2 linked regions of the Caenorhabditis elegans genome follow. The protein of the gene in region 1 binds, or shares a complex with, the protein of each later gene. Each region holds a gene or a part of one and is shown on either strand. Other genes may lie near its edges.

Evidence for each region.
Region 2: mdt-4 (region 1) and cic-1 share a complex: the UniProt entries of both Caenorhabditis elegans proteins name them as parts of the mediator complex.

Annotation. Positions count from the first base shown.
Region 1 is NC_003280.10:4,941,584-4,946,104, reverse strand, and holds mdt-4 (Mediator of RNA polymerase II transcription subunit 4), read left to right. Parts: upstream 1-2,155; 5' UTR 2,156-2,162; coding exon 2,163-2,240; intron 2,241-2,350; coding exon 2,351-2,605; intron 2,606-2,654; coding exon 2,655-2,909; intron 2,910-3,232; coding exon 3,233-3,469; intron 3,470-3,585; exon of another isoform or gene 3,586-3,752; coding exon 3,753-3,932; coding exon of another isoform or gene 3,933-3,942; 3' UTR 3,943-3,998; downstream 3,999-4,521. Other genes in the region: ZK546.2 (Disease resistance R13L4/SHOC-2-like LRR domain-containing protein), read right to left, coding at 1-78; SURF6 homolog gldi-11, read left to right, coding at 316-369, 425-536, 581-1,440, 1,483-1,779, 1,830-1,925; ZK546.19 (uncharacterized protein), read right to left, coding at 3,787-3,942, 4,230-4,334. UniProt on the Caenorhabditis elegans protein: Component of the Mediator complex, a coactivator involved in the regulated transcription of nearly all RNA polymerase II-dependent genes.
Region 2 is NC_003281.10:2,394,948-2,403,093, forward strand, and holds the start of cic-1 (Cyclin-C), read right to left. Parts: upstream 6,275-8,146; 5' UTR 6,262-6,274; coding exon 6,230-6,261; intron 6,183-6,229; coding exon 6,076-6,182; intron 6,020-6,075; coding exon 5,908-6,019; intron 5,856-5,907; coding exon 5,734-5,855; intron 3,639-5,733; coding exon 3,444-3,638; intron 1,022-3,443; coding exon 840-1,021; intron 710-839; exon of another isoform or gene 660-709; intron 1-659. Other genes in the region: Sterol 4-C-methyltransferase strm-1, read left to right, coding at 7,152-7,214. UniProt on the Caenorhabditis elegans protein: Component of the Mediator complex, a coactivator involved in regulated gene transcription of nearly all RNA polymerase II-dependent genes.

The sequences.
Region 1 (4,521 bases):
CTTCAGGCTCAGGACTCGCGTTTTAGAAGCATTTGCAAGGCGTGCACGCACTGTTGGATTGTAGGAATCAATTCCCATCTGCAAATAATATTTTTATTAGGAAAAGTATTTATAAAAAAATTGGAAAAGAGCATAAAATCGTTGAAAATTCAAAAAGTTGCAAAAAAGTAAACGATGATTTTTAACGAAGGTACGACACTCCGCTACCAGAGAAGCGCGTGTTGTTTAGTACAACTTTTTTCGTTTCATTTTTTTCTTAATATTTTAAAAATTAGAGGATTCTCTTTATCAAAATACTAATTTTAAGCATTTTAGATGGCAGAAACATTAGAAGCTGTAGAAGATGCAGTGGACATTCTTGAAAAAGAGGTAGCGTACACACATCCTCGAAAAGTGGCCGAGAAACAAAACATTTTAATTTCAGATGCTCTCCTTCTGCAACCTGATTCCAGTTAACTCTTGGGGATTTGATGATGATGTCAAAGAATCATTGAAGATGCGAAAACACAGTTTGGTTAATCGACAACTCAGCAAAAGTAATTTATTGATAAATTTCTTTAAAATTCTGTATGTTTTTCAGAGGAAAGAAAGTCAATGTCTGCACAACAGAAACAACATCTGGCGAAAGGCTTAGGATTGGTTCCAAACACTGTTCAAGAAGTCCTCGAGTGGATGTCTAAAAGCAAGCAGCATTCGAAAGTGCAACCACAAAAGGTTGTTGCACCGGTGAAGAGACCAGCGGATCAGAACAAGAATAAAGAAAAAGTAGTGAAGAAAGACCAGAAAAAGCAAGATAAGAAAGCTGATTCTGATTCAGAAGAGGATGATTCATCTGACGACGAGGAGAAAGAAGAAACAGACGAGCCAGTTGCTAAGAAGCAAAAGAAAGAAGAATCTTCAGATGATGATGAAGACAGTGAAGATGGAGAAGAGCCTGAAGGAAATAATGGAGCTGTAGAGGCTGAGGACAGCGATTCAACGGACGAAGAAGAAGAAACACCATCTAAACCCAACAAAACCGTAGCACAATCTACTCTGAAATCGAATGGAAAAATTGACAAGGAGATTCAAAAGTTGGAAGACGATGAAGACAATGAATCCCCCGAAATCAGACGTCAAATCGCTTTGCTGAGACTGCAGAAAAAGCTGAAGGAAATGAAAGTTGAGCGGAAAGGAAAAGGACCGGCGAAGGTAACATCAGCGATGGCTGAAAAAATGGCAGAGGAGAAGCGTTTGAAAAGACGGGAGAGCAAGCTGAAGCTGAAACAAAGAAGAGCAGAGGAGAAGAAAGGAAAAGAGGCAGCAGCTCAAGTGAAGAAAGAGACTGTTGAAAGCACAGAAAATGGCAATGAGCCTGTCGAGAAGCAGAAATCTGGAATTTCATTCAATAATCTCAAGTTTGAAATCAAAGAAGACAAGCAGAGGGGCAAGAAACAAAGAGTGAGTAAAAATATTTTTATCTGAAATATCTGAAATTTTCAGACCGCCAAAAAAGATCGAGCTCTTAAACTTACCGGACGTGACTATAAATCACTTATCGCTAAAGTCGAAGAGACAAAAGCAACAATTGCCAAAGTTCGCGAAGCTGATCCACATAAGGCTACCATCATGGAAGATGAGCTAAAGTGGGAGAAAACACTGAAAAGAGCAGCTGGTGGAAAAGTGAAAGATAATTTGGGAATGCTCAAGAAGGCTTTGGTGAAGAAGAATAAGATGAAGGATAGAAGAAAGCAGAAATGGGAGAACCGAGAGAATAAGACGGAGGGAGAGAAGCAAACGGTATGTTGATTGGTAGAAAATCCTTTAAGATTTGAATTTTTATTTTTCAGAAGCAAGACAAGAGAAAGAAGAATCTCCAGAAGCGCATCGATGACGTCAAGAAGAGAAAGATGAACAAGTTGAGAAACAAGGGAAGAATCCTCTAAACAACACACATTTATCCGCTTTTAATTTCTCGTTGTTGAACATTTTTTTGTTAATTTTTACTGTTAACTTTTTTCTTTAAATCTGTGGCCTGTTGTTAAGTTTTTAAGTTTTCAAATTATACTAAATTCTTTGAAAAATATTCTCTTTTTTTTTGAAACTTGTGCCGTTGTTTCGGTAATTAATTATTTTAAAAGTTGTTAATGTATGTTCGATGGTTGTATTGTTCTAGATCTCAAATGGCAGAAACAGATGAACGAAGTCTACGGGATTTGCTCCTGGAATCTGCAGATGATTTGGAGCATATTGTTAAAATGGTACGTTCTAAAAAAATTTGAAACAATATTATAGTTTATTTTAAAATTACTTTTTACTGTGAGTTCATCTTATAGAATTCATGAACCCACATAATCAATTATTGTTTCAGATCGTCGATACACTCATCAATCGGGACAAAAGTGTTATGCTGAAAAATGGAGAAACCGTTACGAACATTATCAAGCTGTTTGACTCAAAACAGGATAGCATAAAGACTTTGCTGAAGAGGGTTCCTGAGTTTCAAGAACGAGAGCAGCTCATTCGGACGCTTGAAGCCCACGTGGAGAAACGAGACGAAGTTATTCAACAACTTGAAACGAATTTGAAGTCATGTGAGGTGGCTCTGACGCGATCTTGTTTTCATGTAAATTTTGTTGGAAACAAAGACTTTTTTCGAAATACGTTTATTTCAGGCAAACCAGAAGCTCAAGCAAATGAAAGAAGCTGAATTGAGACCAGTCAATAGTGAGATGCTCATCAAACTGGCTCATCAGATCAGTAAGCACAACTCCGTATCTGCACCACTCACTTGGCAAATGGGAGATCCATCGCGTCCGTTTCCTCAGGAACACGAATTTCGAGCTGGTCACCTATTGAATTCAAAAGTTCAGAGCACTGGACCTCAGCTTTTACCCGGAAAGAACGTCGCTCAGAGGCCGCTTATTACGGTATGTTTATGGAAACTTGTTGAAATGTGAATCCTCACCTGAAATATTTGATAAATGCATTTATAAATGCATTTATATAAATGCAATACTTCTAATGTTTTCTACGTTAATCTGAAATTCTTTTCACACTGTAACCGAACAGCTGTGAATCACGTGATTTATGTCTTATCTTCTTACATTATCTAACAGTCATTCCTTCTAATGATCAAATTATGAGTGATAAGAAATATTCAGTTCATATTGTGATCTCTTTCCTTCTACGTTATTCGTAGTAAATTTTATAAATAAAATTAAGATTCAACGTTCAATCAATATTATTTCAGTCTCCATCCGCATCCTCATCCAACGGTGGAACAGCTCCAATTCGAACTGTCGGCACTCCTCTTATTAATTCTGCTCCGACTGGAGATTTCAGTCCACGAACTGGTTTTGGCACCGACGAGCCTCCACCGATTCAACAGCAAGTACTCCGTGGAGCCACTCCAAATGAAAAGCAATGGCAGAATCCGGGAGTTTCAGGAGCCACCTCAACGCAATCCCCTTACAACCGTGTCTCGCAGGTCAGTGCAAACCGAGTGTACATAGACAGTGTTACTGGCGGCCCGCAAATGATGCACGGGTGGCGCAGTGGTAACGCGTTTGCCCGTTGTTCAGCTGTCCACCAGTTCGATTCTCAATGCACACAGAAAGTCGAGATTGCCGGCTTCAAAGGCTTTATCGTTGATTACGTGTGCTATAACAACGCCATAGGTATCATTCTTCGTCTTCTTAGGCGCGGAACATCTAAATATGGCTACATTTATCTGCTATTTTATAATTTTCCAATAAATAACATATTTTCAGAGTCCTTCTTCCTCGCCAAACGTGAAGCTGAAAATTACTGGACTTCCGAATCGTCCAGGAGGTATCGATCAAGTTCAAGATGTGCGGGATGTCGAACAAATGTCGTCGGACAGCTCCAACTCGTCAGATAGTTCAGATGATGAAGGCGCATCGAAAAAGACTGGCAGTAGCAATAAATAATGAAAGATCTCTGTAAATTCTGGTATTTTACTTATTGTACGTTGATAAATAAACACAATTTTCTATATATCTTGTGTTTAACAGTGACACTAACTGATTGCATGTGGTTCAGTGTCCACGCCATGTTTACCGCTATGCCAGCTGCCTTTCTTTCTTTCTTTATGTCCTCTAATCTATTTACTCCTTGAACTTTTTTTTCAACAATTCTAGTAACTAATTATATTTAGAAATATGCCAAATTTTGGAATATACCTAAGTTAGCTTTTGATTCAAATCTTATTTTAAAAAAACACTCACCCCATCTAGAGACGCAGAAACGAAAGGGACCACCCATGACAAGAGAGATGCGGAGTACGTGAAAAGATGCACAAAACATGTTGCAGTGAAAGTGTTGTTAGCCATCACTTTTTTTTGTTTTTGTGGGCTCAAATCAGTTTGAAGAAAAGTTGAAGTTGTAAAATTTCGCCTCCTTTCGTTTTTTATGTCATTTTATATTACTTGCCCTTTGGTAATAGATAAGAAATTATCTCTCCCATCAGACACATTCCCACACATCTTCTTTTGACTTGCCTCCACACAACTAATCTAG
Region 2 (8,146 bases), on another chromosome or scaffold:
GATTGGTGGCCTAGGAAATCAAAAGAGTTCGGCCACCAAATTCCAAAAACCACCGAGAATCCGATTTTTCGACTAAAAATTCGGTTTGTTGGCCAAAAAGTGGGCAATATTCCAGTTTTTGAAAATTAATTTGACACGTGGCCTAGAAAACCAAAAAGTTCGGCTACCAATTAGTTTTTGGGTTCAAATTTTGCAGAGAACTCGATTTTTTTAATCAAAAATTCAGTAAAAAACACAAAAAAAAACGTTAAAGTTCAAAAAATGACCTTATTCCCAATCGGTGGCCTAGAAATTACAAAAGTTCGGCCATCAGCCAAAAAACTCGGCCACATGGGTAAAAAGGTCCGAAAAATTCGATTTTTCAGTTTTTTTTCACTGAAAATCACAGAAGCATCGATTTTCGGGGATTTTCCAGCTCAAATTGCACAAAAATTCAGGTTTTTGCAATTTTTGAGTTCAATTTTCAAGAAAATGCCAAAAATGTCAAAGTTTCCGTTCTTGACTTTCTAAAATCACAAAAATTCCCTTAATTCCGATTGGTGGCCTAGAAATTGCAAAAAGTTAGGCCACCATCATTTTTCGGCTGAAAATTGGCAAAATGGGTTAAAAAACTCGGGGTTTTCCACATTTAAAGAAAAATGTTCGAAAATTCCTATTGGTGGCCTAGAAAGTAAAAAAGTTAGGCCACCAACTTTTTTTCGGCTAAAAATGCTTAAAAAATTGTCTATTTTCGCGGAATTTGCTGGATTTTCTTGCAAATTCTCTAAAAATTGGCAAATTTCTCGAGTATTGGGTAGAATTTCACGGGAAATCTCAATTTTCCGGTAGAAATCCGAGACCTTTTCAAAATCAGTGTCAACTTCGACAAGCCAAGCTTCCAATTCTTCTCCACGGCCCATTAATTCCATTGCAACCATAATACTTGATAATCCAATGACATGTGGTGGAAAAATCAATGAAACATCACATCTTAGCGAATCATTTGCCACTTTTTGACATTGAGCTTCAATTGCTTCCAGATCTGCAAAAAAATGGAGGTTTTTTGGTGAAAAATTGGATTTTTTAGTGAAAAATTGAAAAAATTAGAAATTTTGAATTTTTTAATGAAAAAATGGAAAATTTTGGATTATTTAGTGAAAAATTGGAAAAATCGAATTTTTTTGAATTTTTTGGTGAAAAATTGGATTTTTTAGTGAAAAATTGGAAAAATCGAATTTTTTTTGAATTTTTTGGTGAAAAATTGGATTTTTTAGTGAAAAATTGAAAAAATTAGAAATTTTGAATTTTTTAATGAAAAAATGGAAAATTTTGGAATTTTTAGTGAAAAATTGGAAAAATCGAATTTTTTAGTGAAAGATTGGAAAATTTTGGATTATTTAGTGAAAAATTGGAAAAATCGAATTTTTTTGAATTTTTTGGTGAAAAATTGGATTTTTTAGTGAAAAATTGAAAAAATTAGAAATTTTGAATTTTTTAATGAAAAAATGGAAAATTTTGGATTTTTTAGTGAAAAATTGGAAAAATCGAATTTTTTTTGAATTTTTTGGTGAAAAATTGGATTTTTTAGTGAAAAATTGAAAAAATTAGAAATTTTGAATTTTTTAATGAAAAAATGGAAAATTTTGGAATTTTTAGTGAAAAATTGGAAAAATCGAATTTTTTAGTGAAAGATTGGAAAATTTTGAATTTTTAGTGAAAAATTGGAAAAATCGAATTTTTTTTGAATTTTTTAGTGAAAAATTGGATTTTTTAAGTGAAAAATCTAATTTTTAAGTTAAAAATTGGAAAATTTTGAATGATTTTGGGAAAAATTGAAAAAATTGGAAAAATTTGAATTTTTTGAGAAAAAAAAAAGGAAATTTCTGAAATTTTTTAGGGAACAGTGGAATTTTTTTGATTTTTTTTTTTTGAATTTTTTGGTGAAAAATTGAAAAAAATTGGAAATTTTTGAATTTTTCAGTAAAAAAGTGGAAAATTTGGAAAAATTTAAATATTTAGTGAAAAATTGGAAAAATTCGATTTTTTAGTGAAAAATTGGAATTTTTTTTTGAAAATTTGAATTTTTTAGTGAAAAATTGAAAAAATTAGAAATTTTGAATTTTTTTAATGAAAAAATGGAAAATTTTGGAATTTTTAGTGAAAAATTGGACAAATGGATTTTTTTTTGAATTTCTTAGTGAAAAATTGGATTTTTTAAGTGAAAAATCTAATTTTTTAGTTAAAAATTGGAAAATTTTGAATTTTTAGAGAAAAAAAAGGAAATATCTGAAATTTTTTAGGGAACAGTGGAATTTTTTTGATTTTTTTTTTGAATTTTTTGGTGAAAAATTGAAAAAAAAATTGGAATTTTTTCGTGAAAAATTAGGATTTTTTTTGTGAAAATTCAGTTTTGTTTTAAAAACATTTTAAATTTTTAAGAAAAAAATTCCGAAAAATTCTTCGAAAAAATTGAGGTTTCCTAATTTTTGGCATATTTTTTGTAGGGGAAAATCAAATTTTCTTCAAAAATTGAATTGCAAATTTTCCACTTTTTTACTGAAAAATTCAAAATTTTCCAATTTTTCACGAAAAAATCCCAATTTTTTTCAATTTTTCATCAAAAAATTCAAAAAAAAAATCAAAAAAATTCCACTGTTCCCTAAAAAATTTCAGATATTTCCTTTTTTTTCTCAAAAAATTCAAAAATTTCCAATTTTTAACTAAAAAATTAGATTTTTCACTTAAAAAATCCAATTTTTCACTAAGAAATTCAAAAAAAATTCGATGTTTCCAATTTTTCACTAAAAATTCCAAAATTTTCCATTTTTTCATTAAAAAAATTCAAAATTTCTAATTTTTTCAATTTTTCACTAAAAAATTCCAATTTTTTCCAATTTTCCCCTAATTATTCAAATTTTTCCAAATTTTTCACCCAAAAATTCCAATTTTTTTTCAATTTTTCACCAAAAAATTCAAAAAAAAAATCAAAAAAATTCCACTGTTCCCTAAAAAATTTCAGATATTTCCTTTTTTTTTCTCTAAAAATTCAAAATTTTCCAATTTTTAACTAAAAAAATTAGATTTTTCACTTAAAAATCGAATTTTTCGCTAAAAAATTTAATTTTTCCAATTTTTCACTAAAAATTCCAAAATTTTCCATTTTTTCATTAAAAATTCAAAATTTTCCAAATTTTCCACTTTTTTACTGAAAAATTCAAAATTTTCCAATTTTTCACTAAAAATTCCACAATTTTCCATTTTTTTCACCAAAAAATTCAAAAAAAAAATCAAAAAAATTCCACTGTTCCCTAAAAAATTTCAGATATTTCCTTTTTTTTTCTCAAAAAATTCAAATTTTTCCAATTTTTATCGATTTTTTTCCCAATTTTTCCTGGAAAAATCGCAATTTCTCCAATTTTTCACAGTTTTTATCAAAAATTTCCCGGGGGGGGGGGGGGGGGCACCTTTAATAGGTTGATTAGCAATAGTTGATTGTTGAGTAAATTGTTTCAAATCTTCTAATAATTCAAACATTGGACGTGATGCATGATGTACAACAAGGCAACAATCAAGAATTTCAACGAGAATAAACTCGGAATCGTAGACAACTCCATTTTTTGTCGATGTCGTCTCAAATGTCACTCCCCATCGTTTTGGCACTGAAAAATGAAGGGATTTAGGGGCGCGAAATTTGAATTTTTGAGGGGAAAATTTGATTTTTAGGCGATTTTTTGGACTAAAACGGGTTTTTTATCGAATTTTTGACGTTTTTAGTAGAAAAATTGAATTTTTGAGTGGGAGATTTGATTTTTTGGCGATTTTTTGAAGTAAAACGCGTTTTTTCGGACAATTTATGGGTTTTTTAGTAGAAAAATTGAATTTTTTAGCGGAAAATTGGTTTTCAGGCGGATTTTTTGGAGTACAACGGGGTTTTTTCCCGAATTTTTTGAAATTTTTTGCATTTTTAGTAGAAAAATTGAATTTTTTAGCGGAAAATTGGTTTTCAGGCGGATTTTTTGGAGTACAACGGGGTTTTTTCCCGAATTTTTTGAAATTTTTTGCATTTTTAGTAGAAAAAATTGAATTTTTGAGAGAAAAATTGATTTTTAGACGAATTTTTGGACTACAACGGGTTTTTTATCGAATTTTTGACGTTTTTAGTAGAAAAATTAATTTTTTAGTGGGAAATTTGATTTTTTGGCGATTTTTTGAAGTAAAACGCGTTTTTAATAGAATTTTTCGAAATTTTTAGAATTTCTAGCAGAAAAATCGAATTTTTGAGGGGAAAATTGGTTTTCAGGCGGGTTTTTTTCGAATTTTTTGAAATTTTTTGCATTTTTAGTAGAAAAAATTGAGTTTTAGACGAATTTTTGGACTAAAACGGGTTTTTTATCGAATTTTTGACGTTTTTAGTAGAAAAATTGAATTTTTGAGTGGGAGATTTGATTTTTTGGCGATTTTTTGAAGTAAAACGCGTTTTTAATAGAATTTTTCGAAATTTTGGGTATTTTTTAGCATAAACATTGAATTTTTGAGTGGAAAATTGACAAAATTCTGTTGTTTCTGCTGAAAAACTGGTTTTTTAAAAGAAAAATTGAATTTTTGATTAGAAAATTTGATTTTTAGGCCATTTTTTGGCCTAAGAAGAGGTTTTTATTCTAATTTTCTGTGATTTTTAGCGTTTTTAGCAGAAAAATTACATTTTAGACGGATTTTAGGACTAAAAAGGGGTATTTTATGAATATTTTCTGAACATTTCGGCGTTTTCCGCAGAAAAATTGAATTTTTTAGTGGAAAATTTGATTTTCAGGTGGATTTTTGGACTAAAACGCATTTTTGGTCGAATTTTTTACAATTTCTGGCGTTTTTAACAGAAAAATTGAATTTTTGAGGGTAAAATTGATTTAAGGCGATTTTTTGAAGTAAACCGGGTTTTTAATTAAATTTTCTTAAGTTTTTGGTTTTTTTAGCAAAAAAAAGATGAATTTTTGAGTGGAAAATTGATAAATTTTGGTTTTTTCTGTCGAAAATAGATTTTCAGGCAATTTTTTTGAAGTGAAAACGAGTTTTTTATCGAATTTTTGAAATTTTCGGCGTTTTTAGCGAAAAATCGAATTTTTCAGGTTAAAAATTGACAAAATCCGATTTTTCCACACAAAAAACGATTTTTAGACGAATATTAGGACTAAAACGGGTCTTTATGGGTATTTCCTGAACTTTTAACCGTTTTTAACAGAAAAATCGAATTTTTAAGTGGAAAATTTGATTTTTAGGCGATTTTTTGGACTAAAACGGGTTTTTTTCTGGTAAGTTGGGCGTTTTTAGTTTTTTTAATTAAATTTTTCTGAAAATTGGCCGTAATTTTTTTATTTTTGGCGTTTTTAGGAAAGCATCGAATTTTTGAGTGAAAAAGAGGCAAATTTTTCGAGTTTTTCGAGTTTTTCAGCTTAAAAATCGATTTTCAGGCGATTTTTTGGATTAATAAGCGGAAAATGAGCTGCAAGAGTGGAATTTCAAATTTTTTTGAGACAAAACTTGACTCAAAAACTGTTTTTTTTTTTTGGTTATTGAGGTGATTTTTAGAGTTTCTAGCTGAAAAATTTGGATTTCAGCGGTTTTTAAGTGAAAAATTGATGTTTTTTCCGGGTGTTTTTTCGGTTCAAAAGCCTATTTTTCACTAAATTTTCCAATTTTCAGCCGGATTTCCGCGTTTTTCTGCCAATTTTTTGCAATTTTTCCGTCGTAAAAACGCACAAACGATAGCTGTATTTTTCAGAAAGCTTGAGACGCTCAACGTAGTGTGTTCTTCAACTTTACACGCTAAAAATAATGCTGTAGAGGCTACGAGGAATGGGCACATGTCACGGAACGATTGCCTGAAAAATTCGACGTTTTTCCAGGTTTTTTATCATTTTTTTCCGAATAAACCTTAGATAAAATCGCTTAAAATAGATAATCGCAGTTGCAATAACCTGTTGACGGAGTTTACATCCAACATTTGCCTGTGAGTGGGCTCCTTCTGTGGCGACGGCGGTTATAACTGAAAAAAAACCAAAAATTATCGATTTTTTCGAGGAAAAAGTAAGGAAAAATTACAATTCGCCCAGAAAATATTCAATCGATTGTACTCTTCCTCGTTATAAATCTTCATATCCTCGGCGCGTTGCTTCCAAATCTCGGTTTTATCGAAAATCCATTGTTGGCTGGAAAAAATGGGATTTTTTTGGGTTTTTCAATGGGATTTACTTACCAATGACTGCTTTTCCAGAAATTTAAAGCCATTTTTCAACTAAAATCATTAAAAAAATGAAAAAATCGAGAAAAACAGTGGAAATTGAGTGAAATCGATGAAAATTCGAATAAATAAGAATAAATTCGGAGTGTGGATTTACGGTAAAGAACACGCGCCTGCGGGATTCCGGAGTGTCGTTGTATGTCTTTACGCGGTAGTTTAAATCGATTTTTTAAAGCTGGTGGATTATGGCTAGTTTAGAGGGGGTTTTGAAGTTTTTTTTTGTGAAAAATTCAACAAAACGTAGTCAAAATCCTTCTTCTGTGTTAAAATTCAAAAAATTCCATTAAAACCGAGACAAATCGAAATTTTTCTGCAAAGCCACAATAATTAATAATAATTTGGCTCATTTTTCAGAGTTTCTCATGAGTTTATGATTTTTGTGTCAAAATGCTTCCAATTTGCTTTAGGTTTATGTCAACTACATTTCACCCGTCTCCAATCCCTCTGACCACTTGAACTTTCACTTTTTCCCGAAACTAGGCGGAGTCTGGCGGGGGTGCTAGTGAAAACTATCCAATATGACACAGTCACCCATTTCTTGGATGAAAATCCGGCAATTTTGTTTGCAAAACTGAGCAGAAATCATCATTTGATAAGAAATTCGCACCTTTTTGACCTTTTTGACGCTGTAGTCACTGAGCAAATAGAAAAGTGGTACAAATTGGCTGGAAAAAGTCGTATAAAGGAGCTTTTTGGGGAGTTTTAAAGTGTGAAATTGGCTTTGTTAGGTGCTAATTAGTATATTGGAGATTTTAGGAAAAATTTAAAATTTTCGAAAAAAATTTTTTTTTTCGAAATTTTTTTTTCAGAAAATTTTTGTTCGAAATGTTTTTTTTTCAAATTTTCAGATTTCCAGCCAATTTCTTCGTCTATAAACATGTCCATCAATATGAATGCCAACTTTTTGAAGCTTCTCACCCATTTTCGGCGTCACGATTTGGTAAGTTGAATTTTTTCCCAAAAATTTGAAATTCCGACCTATTTTTGTTTAAGTCTTAATTAATGCAATAAAAATGCGAAGATTTTTCTTTGTTTTGTTTAAAAAAACATTTTTATAGCTTAAAAATGAGCAAAGTTATAGGATTTTTTCTAAAAATTTTTTATTCCAAAAAAAATTTTATTTTTTGAAATTTTCAACATTTTTTTAGTACGATTGTAACTTTTTATTTGAATAAAATATTTATCTACAATCTGCTTTAAAAATTATAAAAAAAATCTTAAAAATGAGAAAAGTTATGGTACTTTAAAAAAAAAAAAACTCAAAAAAATTTTTTCAAAAAAAAAATTTTTTTTTTTCAATTTTTTTTTAAAATTCCCCCCCAAAAGTACATTTATTTCTTATTAATGTTATTATGTACTATCACATCTTATCAGTACGAAACCCTTCGTGTTCTTCTGTTTTATTGAAACCAACGGAATATAAGGTGACGAAATGAATTTGACCTACTTTTTTCTGTTATTTGCGCCGCCGCCGAAAATTGGTGAAGAACAAATAATTATTGTGACCTTGTTAATGACAATGTCAATAATAGTTTTATAATAAGAAAGGTATTTACTTTTCCGGAAAAAAAAAATTGAAAAAAAAATTTTTTTGAAAATTTTTTTTTTTGGAAAAACATCAATTTTTTTTAAATTTTTTAACTTAAAATTAGTATCAAAATCAGATTCGTCGTCAAGTTCTACCCCTGAAACACTTTTTTCCGACTTTCCTACGCTAAATTCAACTTTCGCGGGATACTGTAGCCTCAAAAGTACGCAAACACTTCAACACACCAGATCTTACGACAAAATGCAGAAAAATCAATATTTTAACGCAATGTCATGCTTAAAACTGAATTTTCCGCAATTTCATAGGCAATTTAAGCATTTAGT